2 linked regions of the Rhinolophus ferrumequinum genome follow. The main gene of each other region encodes a partner of the protein of the gene in region 2 in a complex. Links are inferred from orthologs where the notes say so. Each region holds a gene or a part of one and is shown on either strand. Other genes may lie near its edges.

The links. Proteins that work in one complex are often made in the same cells at the same time.
Region 1: the proteins of SAMHD1 (region 2) and DCAF1 are in contact, whole or in part, in a crystal structure (PDB 4CC9), measured with the Homo sapiens proteins. The link is inferred for Rhinolophus ferrumequinum from reciprocal best matches to the Homo sapiens genes SAMHD1 and DCAF1. Residues at the interface, in NP_056289.2 of Homo sapiens: Ser616, Arg617, Val618, Gln619, Lys622; in NP_001336097.1 of Homo sapiens: Asn1090, Glu1091, Asp1092, Thr1114, Gln1116, Asn1132.

Annotation. Positions count from the first base shown.
Region 1 is NC_046300.1:5,573,697-5,581,587, reverse strand, and holds the start of DCAF1 (DDB1- and CUL4-associated factor 1), read right to left. Parts: upstream 3,251-7,891; 5' UTR 3,022-3,250; intron 1-3,021. UniProt on the Homo sapiens protein: Acts both as a substrate recognition component of E3 ubiquitin-protein ligase complexes and as an atypical serine/threonine-protein kinase, playing key roles in various processes such as cell cycle, telomerase regulation and histone modification.
Region 2 is NC_046306.1:18,855,775-18,864,499, forward strand, and holds the start of SAMHD1 (deoxynucleoside triphosphate triphosphohydrolase SAMHD1), read left to right. Parts: upstream 1-5,261; 5' UTR 5,262-5,392; coding exon 5,393-5,603; intron 5,604-8,725.

The DNA.
Region 1 (7,891 bases), on a different chromosome or scaffold from region 2:
TCCATACAATGGAATAATATAAAGCCCTACAAAACATCCGTAGAATGTTCTTATCCTTAAAGGACGGCTGCCAAAGCATTTAGGGGTAATGTGTCTGCAACTTATTTTCACATGGCTCCAGAAAACATATACCACACCTATAGAGAGAAAATATGGCAAAATATTAACAACTGTTGACTCTGGATGGATAAACAAGTGTTTGTTTTCCTATTCTTTCAACGTTTTAATATGTTTGAAAATTTTCATAATAAAAAGTTGGAAAAAATTAAGAAGCATGTCCTTTCCTACTTTGACCAACTCTAGATCAATATATTGTTAAGTGAGAAATGTGTGTCCATTTGTGTGTCCCTCAAATAAGATATCCCTGAAAGAATACACAAGAAATGGAGACTATCTATTACTTTTGTGGCAGGTACTATATTTTGTATAATGCACACTTTTTTGCCCAAATTTGTGAGGGAAAAATAAGGATGCACATTATACATGGGTAGTACTAATTCCGTATCTATATAAATGCTTTTAATTCTTTTATTTATGCTTATGAGTTAAAAGTTAACTCTAGAAATCAATAATGATACCCGTATGCAAAATAATACCCTGGAATATGATGATTGGTTTTACTGAACTTACAATGAACTTGCAACAACGAACTTGCAACAATGAAGAGTTCTTGGCCTTCTATGATGTGTAAACATCATAAATTTGTTACCAGTACATAAAATTTCTCGTACCTTGTACCTGTTCTTGTGTTTTGCAATTATTTGTTACATAAAATTTCTTCTACCGTAACATGTTAAAAAAATAAATGCTAAAATTCCTTTATAATACAAAAAAATACCTAAATGTAAATAAATAAAAATTTAAACAAGAGAGTTTTTTTCCCCTAAAAGTTTGGGCCAAAAATGTGGGTGCACATTATACACGGGAGCACATTATACAAGGCAAAATATGGTAACTGATTTTCTAAGGGATAAAGGTAGGAGATTTTTCATCATCCATTATCATCCTAGCTCTACCATTTTTCAACTATTTTGTAACCTTTTGTAACTTTTTAATTAAACCATAAAATCTGTCCTCTTCTAACACAGAGTACTGAACAGCCTATTCCGCAGAAATTGCCCCGAAGCCTAAAATGAAGTCCAGGTTGAGGAAAGTTCCCTTAAGGTTACAATCCTGAAACAAGTGTTTGAAAGCATTCTTCTTCATTTAAAAACAAAACAAACACACAAAACTGGAAAAAAATCCAGGTTTGGAGCATCAAGTAAAATTTACCCAGTAAGGGCCAGCCAGGTGGCTCAGGTGGTTGGAGCGCCATGCTCCTGACGCGAAGGTTGCTGGTTCGACTCCCACATGGGGCAGTGAGCTGCGCCCTCTACAGCTAAGATTGTGAACAACAGCTCTCCCTGAAGCTGGACTGCCATGAGCAGCCGGAGGTCGGCGGTAGCTGCTGTGTTATGCCAGGAATGGCTGGTGGCCAGTATGAGTGGTGGCCATCCTGAGCGGCCACCAGCATGGGCCAGGGAGCTGCGTCCTACACACTAGACTAAGAAACAACAGCTTGAACCGGAGTGGGGTGGGGGAGGCAGAAGAAGGGGGGGAAATTTACCCAATAATTAGTATAAAATGAGATCATATATAACAATTTTCTATTACTGCCTATGACCACTTCCTTTACAAAAAAGAGACATAATTGGTTAAAAACCAACTTCAATCACTTCAAGCTAACATGTGGTTCATTCCACCAGATTCCTCCTCAATTAAAAGTAACAACCGTACAAGTAAAACAGCAAAAAACTACACTCAGCAACTACTCAAGAGATTTTGAGCACACGATTTCCTTTCCATTCCCCAAATTCTGTATTACCTCCTTAACATCAAAAACTATATCGCCTGCTGAAAATGGATAATGAATAACTGCTATATACAAAACCCAAACCTTGAAAGCATCAAGCAGAAAAACACAAATCAATTCCTAAAGACTCTAAATATAAACTTACATAAATCTTAAAGGTAAACTCCAGTAAACTGGAAAATTACAGGATGACACGCCAATGAACCTCTCACTCTACATTAACAAAGCGTTTAGAACAGGAAGATGCTACTAATATAAATTATTAAAGCATCTTATTAAAACATGCAGACTAATTAAAAGGCTCCATTGAAAACACACGGTGGAAAAACTGAGGCCAAAGTGATGTGGAAAGGGATGAGCTATTTGGGACTCAAAAAGTACTACTCCAGATGCTCCAAAAAAACTACCACTTCAACAAATGCGAAACTCGAGCGCTTTTGTTTTTCTGCCCTAAGAGAAAGCCGTCTAGCAAGAGAAGAGGGATTGAGAAAACGCCTCTGACATCCCAGTTTGAAACGACTATAACCGCAGAGACAGGCTCCCGGGAAGCTTGGCGGGCACTCCGAGGTTTGGCTCCACGCTGCAGGAACCACACACCTCTGTCCACCCCGCCCCTCCACCACGGGGGTGGGAGGAGTGCCCGGAAAGCTCCGCCCTTCGCCTGGTCCGAGAGCCAGGCGGGTGCAGGCGGAGGTAGCACGAGGCCGAGGGAGGCGAAAGCCCGCCCAGGTGACTGGAGCTGGAGGCGGAGACAGTCTGGGAAGGGGGCCGCCGTAGGGCAGAAAGACGGAGCCCCCCAGCCCGTACAGAACGGAGACTGGGAAGAAAAAATGCACCAAGGGGACGAAGAGGAGCCCCTCCTACAGGTAGGGGCGGGCACACCCCTGCCCCCCATTCCGGGCGGAAGAGTTACTCTCGGGAAGCTTCTTTTGCGGACTGGAGGAAGAACGTGGAGGCCCCGCCCCCGAGCCAAGAATCTGGAGGAGGAAAAGCCCTGTCAGGCCTCCGGCCCAGCCTCCCTGGCGGCCCGGCCCGCCCCCTCCCCGCCGGCGGCCCAGGCAGGTGCCGCCCCTCCCCCAGCCCGGCGCCCACTCTCCCGCCTGCGGGGCCACGCGCTCTGTCTCCTCGCGCCCCTCCCAGAGAGCCATCTTCCTCCCGGCCCCACTCACCTTCCCGGGCGGCTCCGCCGCTCCCCCCTGACCCCGCCAGCGGCCACAGTTCACACACACCGCCTCAGGTCCTGCACTCACTCTCCCTCACTCACACACAGCGCGACCACGGGTCCAGAGCGGCCCACATATTATGCGTCACTCGCATGTTACGTGCCCCGCGCGCGCGTCCCCCGATTTGGCGCGAGGCTCGCTAGCCGGAGGCGGGAGGAGAACGCCAGCGCGAGCGGAGGACGAGCCCCAGAGCCGCCTGGGAAATGAAGTTCCGCTTCTAGGGGCGGGGACCACCAGTCCTAATTGGAGCAGGAGCACATCGTCCCCGCGCGTTGACTTCTGGTATTTGTAGGTTTTTAGGATTAACGCGAACTGACGTTTACTCATTGGCTGTTTCCGAAGGCGGAAGCGAAAAGTGAGGAACCAGACTCCTTCCAAGCCAAGGCTATGAGTGCTGGATCCCTTCTCAGTACCTTATTATGCCCCGTATGACAGCGGAAAGCCTTCGTTTCATTCTCCCATTGCTCCATTGTTACTAGAACATACCAGGATCTAAGACATTTCCCACAAGCATCTCAGAAAGCACAGCACTCATTAAACAGAAGTCTAGTTTTTCTTTCTCTTTCCGTTCAAGACCTGGTCTGTAGGATCAATAAATATTTATCCTAGGTATTACATGTGAGGCAGAGAAAAGGAAAAAAATCAAAAGGCCATAAGTTAAGGCAGGGCTGACCTCAGAGGTCATCTAATTTAAATCCTTTATTTTGGGAGGCTCAGAGAGAGTAAGTGACTTGCCTAACATCACACAACCAATTAGCAGTAGAACTAGAATGACTCCTAACTGACTCAGGGATCCCTTTGTGGGGACATGAAAGATAAACGTGGACAGCTGAGCAGAATCTCTTCCTAACAAGACCCTCCCCAGACTATCTCTCTGGGAAACCTAAGCAAGTTTCTGTGCATTTCTATGGAGTCCTCAGAGCCAACACTTTCACATGGGGAACACGGGACACAGCAAACTTGCTGCCATGGTCAGGTCCTACAGCTAGTCAGAAGCTAGTGAAAGCCTGAATGCTAGGTCTCCATTCCTGATTGGACCCCATTCCTCTCTTCCCAGAAAAACGATACCTCCCTCCTTCACTTAAGTGTGTAACTTGGAGCAGCTGTTCAGGCACAAAATCCTAGAATGTGGGGTGGCAGTGCCGCAGACATGTCACTTCTCTGCAACCCTTTCACCTGCCATGACAGAGCTCTCTTCTCTGCTTCTGGACTTTTGCCTGTATCAATAATGGCCACTATCATTTCCTTTGACGTTACAGCAGGCTCAGTTCTGAGCCAAGTGTTTTACCTACACTTTTTCATATAACGCTCACTATCACCCCACAGGGTAGATTACAGTCAGCGACCTATACAGAAGAGAAATCTGAGCATAGAGAGGTGGTCCAAGGGGTGGGTCCCATTTGTAGGTCCAGAGGCCGGACGCCTAACTTTGCTGTGCCTGTCCTCTATCACTCCTTCAGCTGACTTTCCTGTCATGCCTCCTTAGGCCATGATCCCAAAATGCATAAGGATGGAGTGTTCAAGCCCACTGCCTAGGGTCCTGAAAGGCAGAGTCCTTGTGGGAACCCCTGGTCCAGTTCACGTGTTCCTGGCACAGCCTCAGTCTGACACCAGATGGCACTGCTTCCCTTCAAAAACCCAGTCTGGGGCCCTGCGTCTGTAATGGGAGTGAGGGAGTTTGGAGAAACCAGGGCCCCGGAGGCTGGGGAAGGAAGGGCCTGTCTGGGAGCTGCTCCCTCCAGAATCTCTGCTCAGTAACATCTGCAGCCCCTCCAGCCTGCCAACACAAACACACACACACAGCCACACATACACACACACACACACACACACACACACACACACAGCCACACACCTGCAGGCAGTCCCAGACCCCCACTCCGGGAAGGGGAAAGGACAGCCCCCAGGTTTTCTGGGCTGCACACACATTCCAAGCATGCTCGCTGACACGTTTCACAGGGTGGGCATTTTCACATTGAAGTCCACACAAGCACAAAGCTACGGCAACTCCAGACCCACCTGCCGGGCTCGGTCTGGCACATTGCTTCTGAATCATTGGCAAGAGATTCCTTGGCCTCTTTGAAAGAACATCTCTGGACCCTGGACCCTCGCCTCTCCCCACCCCGGTCTGCCTGTGCACCTCCCCATGTGTGCCTCAGAAAGAAGCAGACACCATCCAAAAGGGCAAGGAGTGGTGTCTGCAGGGCTGCCCCGTGACAGAGAAAGGGCAAGAGCAGTCCAGCCCTGGTCCCAGCACCAAGGGCTACAGACTCAGGTGTGCTCCACCTGCCTGCAAGTAAGGGCGTGCACGGGGGTGGGAGTACCCATGCCATGGGTAGGAAAGTCAATAGCCCCAAACCCTCTGGGCCTCGGGGTGCTCCTCCCCTCTGCCCTCCTCCCTGTCACCTTTCCACCACCCCTTCCCTCCCACCACCTACTTCCAGGCTCCCCAGCCCATCCCCATCCTGGTGCCACCACGACCCCTGTACCTCCTCCTGCAACTCCCTGGGGCCAGGAGGCAAGGCCAGCTGTTCCACATCCACTCTCACTGTGCTGGTGGCTGAACAAGATTGCTGCTACAAGTGTCCAGGAGTCACAGGAGCCACCAACGGGCTGCCAGGCCATGGAGACCCTGGCCTAGACAAAGAGGGAATTCTAATCATTCACTCAGGGCCCTCTCCATGCCCAGGAGCCCCTATGCCTCCTAGACAAAAATGGAACACTATTCCTATTGCTCAATATGTATGCAAAGCAACCACTCCTGTATGACTGCATGCTCGTCCACCACTCTTGTTTTACAGAGGGAGAAATTGAAGGTTCCACCAAGACAACAGTTTCAGCTGCACCTTGTCCAGGGGCCACGGCAGCTGCAGTCTCCGGAAGGCAGTCACCACCTCCTGCTTCAATGGGCACAACTTCATAGAGGGGCCTGAGGCTCAAATGGGGAATGGATCAGCTCCCATGTACCAGGGCCCCTGCCAGAGGCAGGAGCCCCCAGGAGAGCCTCTTGCAACATTTAGGGCATACTTACCCTTACAAAAAAGTATTGTTTATCTGAAATTAAAATTGAACTGGTCATTTTGTACTTTATCTAGAAACCCCACCTCAGAACCACTGCTCAGTCACAGACCCCAAGGACTCCCCTCCTGCGGCCTCTAGGGCCTCATTTAAATCATCTGCAAAATAGTTGGAAGCAAATCGGAGCAGCTGCCTCCCAATGGGTCTCATTAAAGATTAGACAGACCAAGCTGTCAAGGCTCCCTTATACAAAAGCTGATGATCTAGGTGATAGCAGGCTCAAATTCTTCCCTTCTACCCTTCTCTTTTTTTAACCCTATCACTGACAGTCAGAGTTGACAAAATAGTTTTTCCTCCTCATTGAGAAGAGTTTGCAGAAGGAGACAGGTCAGCAGACGAGTCCAGCTTTGAAGGCAAACAGACCTTCCTTCTAATACCAGTGCTTCCATTTAGCAGCTGTGGGACCTTGGTTTAATAACTACACCCCTTGAACATCAGTTTCCCTGGCTGAAAAATGGGAATGACATACCTCCTTTCTAGCATTGTTCCAGGGTTAAATGTGATGATGCATGTAAAGTGCTTAGCTTGGAGCCTGGCACACAGGAAGTGCGAGCTAAGTGATGTTTTGATTATGCTTCGGCCAGGGCTGAAGAACTCCCCACTGCAGTTCTCCAGGACTACCTCAGCCCTGGCTAGTTTCCCTTTGCCCCCAGTGCTGCCGGCTGGAGGAGCTCAGACTTTCCTGATTTCAATGAGAAATGAGTCCCTTACCAGAAAAATCCTAGGGGACATTTTCAGAAGCACTGGGAAGTATTGGAGTTACCACTCCTGGGGATCACCTGTCCTCTCTCTGTCCTAGCCCAGAACTGAAAGCTGAGTGGGTGAGAGAGTGGATTTAAGAGGATCTGCTCTTAGACCTCCTCATGCCCGCAAGGGCTACCACCAATCCAGGGTGAGGGCAGTCAAAGCCAAGGAGCCCCTGGGATATGAAATCAGACATGTCACCCTCCACAACCCAGCCATTGACCCTGCTTCCTGCTGGCAGGAAGCATCTGGAACTCCGGCCCAGAGCACACTCACTTCCTTCCCTGGGGTTCTCTGGCAGGGTGGTGATGTCAATCAAAGTAGAGGCAGACGGGATGGCCCGTGGACCCTCACTGTGGACCTGCCCAACACAAAGAAGGGCTGTAGCATGAAGAGGACCAAACTCTGCCCTCTAGGTACCCCCAGGACCTGTCAGATCCCCCAGCCTGGCTGTCAGTTATCATTCCTGCTGACTCCTGGGGCCCTGCTCTTCCCAGAGGCTATGCTCCGTGTAAGTTAGAGGTTGAGGAACAGGTGCAGGGAAGCTAAGGAGAAACAAGCCCAGAACTCTTTGGCCCCAGGTTTCTGGAATCATAAATCCTTCCAGGAGTCAGCATTGGAGAGAGGAGCCCTTGGATTTTTGGCAGTGCCCGTTGGTAGCCGCAAGACCTTTCTACAGGATTCAGGGATCTCTGGCCTGACCCATTTGTAGGTGCCCTGGGCACTGCTGAGTCCTCCCACGATCAGTTCTTTGAAAAAAGCCTAGAGAAGAAGGGTCTTGTGTAACAGAGGGAGGCTACTCTGACCCCCAACTCAGAGGTCACAGGCCCACCACCGCCACCACTTGGAGTAACCGCTTCCTGTCCCTGCCCAAACCTGGCTGCAATGGGCCTGGACCTTGGAGAGGTATTGCCAGATACAGCCAGGAGTGCCCAGTTAGGCCCGGGAGCCAAAGCCATCAAGGAGAGGTGTTTCTAAGGGTAGAGGGTGTCCT
Region 2 (8,725 bases):
ACCCCCACCCCAAAGACCGCATATATGCCTCCCTCCCTCTACTCTGGGCGCAACTTCGCCGCCCCCGTCTTCGGGACCGGTGAACCTCGCCCACGAGCGCAGAATAAAGCACTCACTTTTCTCAACCTGCCTGACTAGCCTCATTATCTCGCCGCAAGCCTTACAACAAGAAGCAGGAACCACACGATCCGCAATCCGACCTCCGCTTCTCTGCCAACCAACCCACCTGCTAACTGCAATCTGCGCTTGCTAGCTCAGCCACGGCAGTTACAGTTACATCAGTGGCTAATGGCTAACTGGTAACAACTGATGGCCAACTAGTCACAGCGGATGGCCATCTACCACCCGAGCCAGCACCTTTCCACATGAGGTCGGAGAGTCTGGATACTGCTCTCCTGGCTCTGTCCCCACAGACCCACACAGGAATTGGGTCATAGAGTAAGTGTTTATTATCAGATAACAAGTGGTTTGAGAAGGAAGCAGGTTAACACCTTCAAAACTGCCTTTGTAACTGGAAACCAAAGGTGTCTGGGGCTCACGCTACCTGCCCCGTTTAGCCAATAGACCCACACAGGAGTTGGGACATAGAGTGTTTATCAGATAACCACTGGTTTGAGAAGGCAGCAGGTAAACACCTCCAAAAACTGCCTTACATTCACAGACCAGCTGGGGGTATTTAAGGGAAAATCTGGTCACTCTCCCAGAGGCTGTATGACATCTCAGAAGTCTGTTTTCCTTTCATGATGCCTCCCTTTGTCATCGTATATCTTGTGGTGTCAGCGGTCTAGAAATGGTGGGGGAGTACCCTGGAAAAATGCTAAGCGATAGAGTTTGTAATTAGCAAGCATCTACAAGCTGATTCTCTGGGGCCAGGAGCCAAAACAGGGCAGGGCACCCCGGGGACATTCTGAGCTCAAGCCATAGGGGTGTGATTTACTCTTTCACTATGGGCCAAATAGAGTGAAACCAGCCCGGATGGGGGGCAGGGCATCCCGGAGGCATGCTGAGTACAGGGGGCCCAGCGGGGCCCTGCTTTACCTTCACAGTCTCAGACCAGCTTAGGGTATTTAAAGGAAAATCAGGGCCTTCTAACAGAGACTGCATGATGGTCCTGGGGGATTGTTCTTCTTCATGGTGCTTCGCCTTGTCCTCGTAACTCTTTGGTGGCCTCAGCAAGCCAGTGACGGTGAGGGGAGTAGCCTGGGAAGAATTCTGGGCTATCGAGTTTGTAATCAGCAACCATACAGGCATTAATCATGAGGGTAATCTTCTAAGGCAAGGGACCAGGACAGGGGTGGAGCATTCCGGGGCATTCTGTGCTCAAGCCACAGGGGAAGATTTATTGTTCAACTATAGGTTAAGGAAAGGTGAGGCCGGGGACACAGGGAGACCTCTATTATGGAGTCCCAACCAGACCCCCTGCTTCAATACCACAGGCTGGGTGGCTTAAACAACAGAAATTCATTTTCTCACAGTCTGGTGCTGGACATCCAAGATCAAGGTGCCAGCACAGTTGGTTTATGGTAAGACCTCTCTTCCCGACTTCCAGATGGCCACCTTCTTGCTGTGTCCTCACTTGCCCTTTCCTCTATGTGTGCACAGGGAAAAGGAGATCTCTGGTGTATCTTCTCATAAGGATACCAGTCCTACTTATGGATTACAGCCCCACTCATCTGACCTCATTTAACCTTGATTATCTCTTTAAAGACCCTGTCTCCAAATACCGTCACATTGGGGGCTAGGGCTCCAACATATAATTTGGTGAGGTGGGGACACAATTCAGTCAGTCCGTAACACTGGGGTCCGCTCAGTGAATGGCAAGGGATTTCTCAGAGAAAAGAATCTTTGTGAACTTGGCTGACGTTGGTATTCACTAGGGACAGTGGGGCATGAGTGATGAGCAATCAGACTAGATTGGACTGGATACAAGCGTAACTACAAGAAAAAAATCAGTCAGGTAACACTGGATACCTGAAGAGAACCCTGTCAGATGTTGAAGTTGTGAAGTGTACCAGCCATATTTTCAGCTAGAAATGAGAGAAAATTCAAAATACATACACCAGAGACAATCCAACTCACACTGGTTTAAAAACTAATTTTCTTCTTCCTGATACAAGACCTTGCCCTCTCACCCAAAGATTCACATGTGATCTGATGGATTGAATACAATCCAAGCTTGTTGAAGTCATCCCCTTACAATTTTCTGTTGGAACTGGAGGAGCAGAGTCTTTCCTTCAGCTCGAGATGTGGAGCCGCGGAGCTGCTTGCAGCTTGTAGCCCTCATATTCCTACATGGTTTGTACTCTCTTTGACCTCGTCTCTTTGCGCTTTTTCCTTTACTCATTTTGCCAATCCACCCAGGCCTCCTTGCTGTTTCTCAACTCTGGGCGTGCTCTTGCTTCAGAGCCCTTGCACTTTCGAAGCCTTTGCTGTTCTCTTTGGAGTGGTTTTCCTCCAGATACTGCTGACTCCTTCATTTCCGTCAAGTCTCTGCTTAAATGTTACTTTCATAAAAGGCCTATTATGACCACCCTATCTGAAATTGTGACCCTATCCCCCTCCACTCCTCTTTAAAAAAAAATGTTTTCCATAGCACCAACTTCTAACATGTTTATTATTGTTAATTATAGCATTATTCACTGCCAGTCTCCCCTCACTAGGATATAAGTTTCACTAGGGAAGGGATTTTTGTTTCTTTTGCTCATTGATGTGCCAGGCAAATTAGTAAGTACCCAGTAAATATTAATATTTATTGAATGAATGAATGTATTAATGTCCAAATAAACCCAACTAGTATAATACCCATCTAAGGAGGTTGTTAAGAGGATTAGAAATTATGGCTATAAAGTAAAGCACAAGTAGAATATCTGACTCATAGTAGGTACTCAAATATGGTAGCTATTGTCATTTTGCAAGGTCTCCTTTTTTCAAAGACTTGCCAGACCTGGAGATAAATTTCTATACCTATGAACAGAAAAAGACTTATGAGGAAAAAGAAAAAAAGAAAAAGACCTATGAGGCACATACCAAGAGGTGATCTTTGGACCTGCATGTGCAGATATACACATTTCTTTCTTGAGCATTATTTGTAGGAGACAAGAAAATCAATTCTTAAAAAAAAAAAAAAATCAAATTTTTTTTTTTAAGAATTTCGGCTTGGCTTTGGAATTTGGGAAGATGGAAAAAAAGAATGTCTTGAGGAGGTTAGGTTCAGTAAAGGATGAAGAAGAAGTAAATGAAGGACTAGGTAATGGTGATAGCTGGCATTGAGAACCAACAGCACTGATTGAAGAGGAAGCTGCGGAAAGATGTGAAACCACAAAATTAATGCTGCCAGAAATAAAATTGTCTACCTCATCTGGGTGGTGGAAGGTAGCTGGGGAAGGGCAGAGAAGAATCGCTGGGAGTGTTCAAGGTTATCAAGCAACGGGCCTTAAATGAATTGAATTCATAGTCTTCTAGTCCTAACATGGTGAGGTCAGAGGAGAGCTTAAGCATTCATTTCTATCAGTAGGACCAGAGAACAGGGTCTGTGTCTAGTAGGTATTTGTTCCCAGGTTGGGGAGTGACTGGATGGATTAGGATCACCAGGACTGTACGTGGAATTAAATGAAGTGGAAAACTGGAAAGTGTTCAAGTTTTAGAGACAGCTTTGAATCTTGATTCTGTCACTTACCAGCCATGTGACCTTGAGCAAGTAATCAACCACCTTGTACAAATCTATGGCCCCTAGAAAGTAGGGGATTAGAGGGAAAATAATAAATATGGCATTAAATTATGATCTTTAACAAACAAAAACAAATAGAAAAGTAAAGTTCTCAAAACCAATTGCTTTTGAGTAAACCCAGCTGATTAAACATAAAACCCTACTTCTATTACCTACTGCCCAGGAAACCTTGCTGTCAGGGCAGGCTTTCCCACGGGTCTTAAGAACACAAGTTTTCAAACCAGCCATTTGCAAGTTCAAATATAAGTCTTTCGCGCATATGCTATTTGTGGTCTCTTGTTTTGGTTTCACAAATCTTGACAATTATCTTCTTTCCTCAAATTATTCTGGGGTTTAAGGGTGTGTTTTTGTAGGCCTGACCCTTCTGTGCAGATAGAGGGCAAGTACATCTCTCTATACTTTCCCCCATGGGTCTATGGGACAAAGAAGCAATTTAAAAATTTGGGTTAATTAATATAAAATACTTTTATGTTGAAACTGCCATTAACAAGCAATTGTTGGCAAGAACATGGATTTTGGAACCAGGCTAGATTGCCTGGGTTTGAATCCAGGTTTCATGACTTCCTCGATGTGTGACTTAGGCAAGTTACTTGTTTTTCTGTACCTCAGTTCTTACATCCTAATGTTGTGATACTTAAATGAATAAATATTTGTAAATCCCTTAGATCATTGCCTGGCACACAGTAAAGCTCTAAGTGTTTGCTAAGAATATTTTGCTTACCACTGGCCTACTTGTTCATACGGCTTGATAACTATCTGCCTCATTCATCCTTTATGCCCTAGATGGGTCTATGGCTGGGTTGATAGGAAGGTGTATTGGCTTTAGTAGTGGTAGTACTTCTGCCAGTTAATTGCATGGACCAGGATTTATAGGAAAGTTTGGATACTGCCCCAGAGCGGTTAAAGTGAGGAGGAGATGCCTGCCATTTTCACAGGCTGTTACCAGCAGGTAGTATTCCTTTCCTCTGGGCAGGGGGTTGGGATGGAGAGGGGGTTGAGGACTCTTTTGGAGAGAAGCTTGAAGTCAGCTCCTGTATGGAAAACTGAAGATAGGCTAAGAATACACAGATAGGCATCCCTGGGGCCCTCTCACTGCCCAGCAATACCGTAGAACTTGTAAAATGCAAGAAGTCACCTTCACATCAGATTTGAAATCATTCCAAGTTTTTCCATTTCAGCTTCTCGACCATTTTTCTCTTAATTGGGAAGATGCTGTCAGCCTGATGGCCTTTTAGGTTTAAGTTTGGGGCATATGAAACACAAGTAAACCTGGGGTACTCGTTTGGAGGCAGGTACCCTTACTTCACCATAAGAGCCCCTGCTCCCGGTGGTGGTTGGACGTCCATGGGTTCTGAGAACACTCTTTCCTCGCTCTCGCCCTTATTAGCACCACCCTTTGTTCTGCTGCTCGCTGATCAGTTTCGCGTAAACGCCGGGGCCAGATTTAGGACCATTAGACTGTCATTGCGCCTGCGCAGGGGCCAGGTGCCTTTAGTGGCTAAGCTGTGTGGCCCCCAGGTCTGCGCTGTCTGTGCGCCTGCGCGGGAGGCCAGTAGGCTGGCAACGCGGAGCGGACTGGCCGCCCGTGTCGGGCTGTCAGTGCGCCTGCGCGCGAGCCAAGCACCGCGGTTCTTGAGTGTGCTGTGCCGGGCGCTGAGTGTAGCCATGGAGAGAGCCGACTCTGAGCGGACCCCCAAACGGCCCCGAACTGATGGCAGCCCAAGAACCCAGCCGAACACCCCTTCCGCTGTTGCGGCAGAGGTGTCCCCGGCCCCCAAACTCCACCCCGACCACAGGACCTGGGACTCGGAGCAGGTGTGCGACTTTCTAAAGCGCGATGGCTTCAGAGATCCGGGACTGCTGGACCGCATCCGAGGTAGCAGGGCTGGAGGGCTGAGGGGCTGGGGGGCGGCGACCCGAGGCGCGGACAGCAGGCCTGAGGGAGGGCGCGCCGGGGCAGGGAGCAGAGGCCCTCAAAGAGGACCCAAAACAGAGAAGCGAGAGCTGCCGCGGGAGGCACCAGAAGGGGTGGACCTGAGGTGTGAGGGGGACGGGGGGGGGGCGGAAGAGGGGTGCACAAGGCGGGGTGACCTGAGGCAAAGAGCCCTCCTGAGACGGGGGCCTGAGGTGGGAAAGGGAGCGCTGACGCGAGAGACACCAGAGGAGGCGGACCTGAGGCGGGGGGCCTCCGGGCTTGGGGGCCCTGAGGAAGAAAGCAGACTTTGGGGAGTGCGAACCTGCGGGGGGCAGTCTGGTGGCTTTCTCCAGGAACTTGCCACCCCAGCGCTGGACAGGCCAGACTCGGGGCCCTCTTTTAGGTAGCAGAACGTTTCCCCCGCTTTGGGGGGGAGGGCTGCTGTCATTCAGGCTCGCCTGAGCTACAGCAGCTCCTTGAACACTTGCCATGAATGTTCAAGGGTGTTTTGATGCTTTTCAGTTTCTGTTTTCCCACAAACCTACCCTCCCTTTCCCGAAACTTGGGGATTTCCTAAAAGAGAAGAAGGGACACGTTGGTTTCCTCCTAAATCTTCTTAGCCAACCATTGCCTCCCACCTGAGGGCTCAATCCATGTTTCTTCACTGGACCAGCAGAGCTTGGTGGCCACCATGTTTTCTTGTCCAAAAACACTTTCTTTTTCTAAATCTGGACACAGAGGGTTGTTCAGTTGACCACTGAATTCCCAGCAGCCCATCGCGTGGCCCCCAAATATGGGGAAGTGTGCAGGTTGTGAGTTTCAAGTGACTTTACTGGTCGCTTGAACTCGACTCAGATTCCCACAGTGGGTGTGACACTTACCCTGCCTTATCCCCTGAGGTGTTCAACAGGAAGATTGGTGTGATTGGCACATGCTGTAAACTTGTGCAGCTGTCGAGGGGAGCCCCGTTTGCTAGGATGGGGGAGTCAGGTAGGAGGAACTTCAGTGGTTCAAGACTTCAAGATAACTTGATGGGTATAGAAATTGTACTTTTCTTTTTTCCCTTTCCCCCTTTTATTTTCCTCCACGGCTGGGATGGAAATTTTTTTTGAAGAGCCACAGGTGGGGATGAAGTAGTTTTATATGTTCTGTCTCCTAAACGTGATTGGCTCTGTGGGCTCTCTGTTTCAGTGCTGTTCGGCAGGTATTCATTCATCAGCCTTCAGAATGATCTGCTCTCTTGAGCCCACAGTCTGATGTTAATAGAAGACACTGTGTGCTTGTCGTTGGTAAAAACTGACCAGTTGCTCATTTCGGACTGCCTGCTTTGTCTTGACCAAACTTTAGTTAGGCTTCTCTCTCTCCTGTAGGCCCCTCAACTCTTGCTTGCCTCCAAAACTGAGCATATACTAAATAAAAAAGTGGAACATGCCCCCTGATCATTTTCTCCTGGGAATCAGCTGACCACAGCAGGACACTGTCCTATCAGACCTCATTGAGGTTGCTTTCCCCTCTGTACAAAAAACAACACCTTTTTCTGTTTGATTTAGAGCCATTTGTGGATGTCTGAGATTGGAGTACTCTCCCTATTGCAGCATTTCTAATTAAAGTCTCCCCCATCTAAGCCCAGATTTGTTTTTATTTGACAAAACTAAGCACAAGGTGCTGAGTCCCTTTCCTCATGGAATACAATCTCACAGGAACCCTGAAATTTAGAGACCATGATCCATATTTTTTCACAGATGATGTGATTGAGATCCAAAGATGTTAAGTAACTTACCAGAGGTCACACAGCTAGAAAAAAATCTGAGCTGGATTTTAAGGTTAGGTCTGTGGACTCCACAATTCATGCCAGAATTCATACCTTAACAAGTGTTCTCATCAAAAACCATTGGATTCCCCTCAACAATAAGAGAACAAACAAACCAATTAAAAAAAAAAAAACATTGGAGAGCATAACCAAAGTTGTAAAATCAACTAAGCAAGAGGAAAACAAAAACAGAAAAATGAGCAAAACACAGGAGCAAACAATTGACAATCAGCCAATGTAAACACAGAAAAAGACATTCAGTCTCAAGAGTAATTTTTAAAAAATACTGATTTTTAAATTTAGATTGGAAAATATTCAATGATTGATAATAGACGAAATGGGTAACTCAATAAAGTTGATGAAAATGTCATTGGCTCAACCATGGAGAGTTTGGCAATACCTTTTTACTTATAGGAAATTTCACTTATAAAAATTTGTAGATATAATTTTATAGGTGTTCAAAGAAACGTACTCCAGATTATTCTTTTAACCATTGGTTATAAATAGCAAAAAAAGTAGAAATAATTTAAGTATCCATCAGGAATAGTGGTAAATAATAATGATGGCTAACATTTATTGAGTGTTTACTTTGTGTGAAGTACTATTTTATGCATTTCACATATTTTATAAAATCTTTACAACAACTCTATAACTCTGTGACATAGGTTCAGTAATACTCATTCTAGAGGTGAAGAACATAAAGCTCAGAAGAAAATGATTAAATATGTTATGGTACATCTATATTGTAGAACACAAGACAGCCATTAAAAATGATGTAGGTTGGGGCGGCCGGATGGCTCAGTTGGTTAGAACGCAAGCTCTCAACAAGGTTGTGGGTTCCCACATGGGATGGTGGGCTGCGCACCCTGCAACTAAGACTGAAAACGGCCACTGGACTTGGAGCTGAGCTGTGCCCTCCACAACTAGATTGAAGGACGACTTGGAGCTGATGGGTCCTGGAGAAATATGCTGTTCCCCAATAAAAAATTTAAAAAAAGAAAAGCACAGAGTAGTGTGGTTTAGAACTAAATGGCTTAGAACTAAATGCACAGGTTTAGAACTAAATCAACACTTTGGCATCTGCTGAGGCTGTGGTTTTGACCTGAGTGTTCTTCCCTCACCCCAAATCTCACCTGCTTTAGGAGGAAGCGCCTGTTTTGCAACTGGACTTCCTTGCAAATAATTTACTCAAGTAATTAAAAAATTTTCACCTGATTTATAAAAAAAAAAAAACTCTTGATATAGTTGTCTAATTAAGACATTCCTAGTAGAA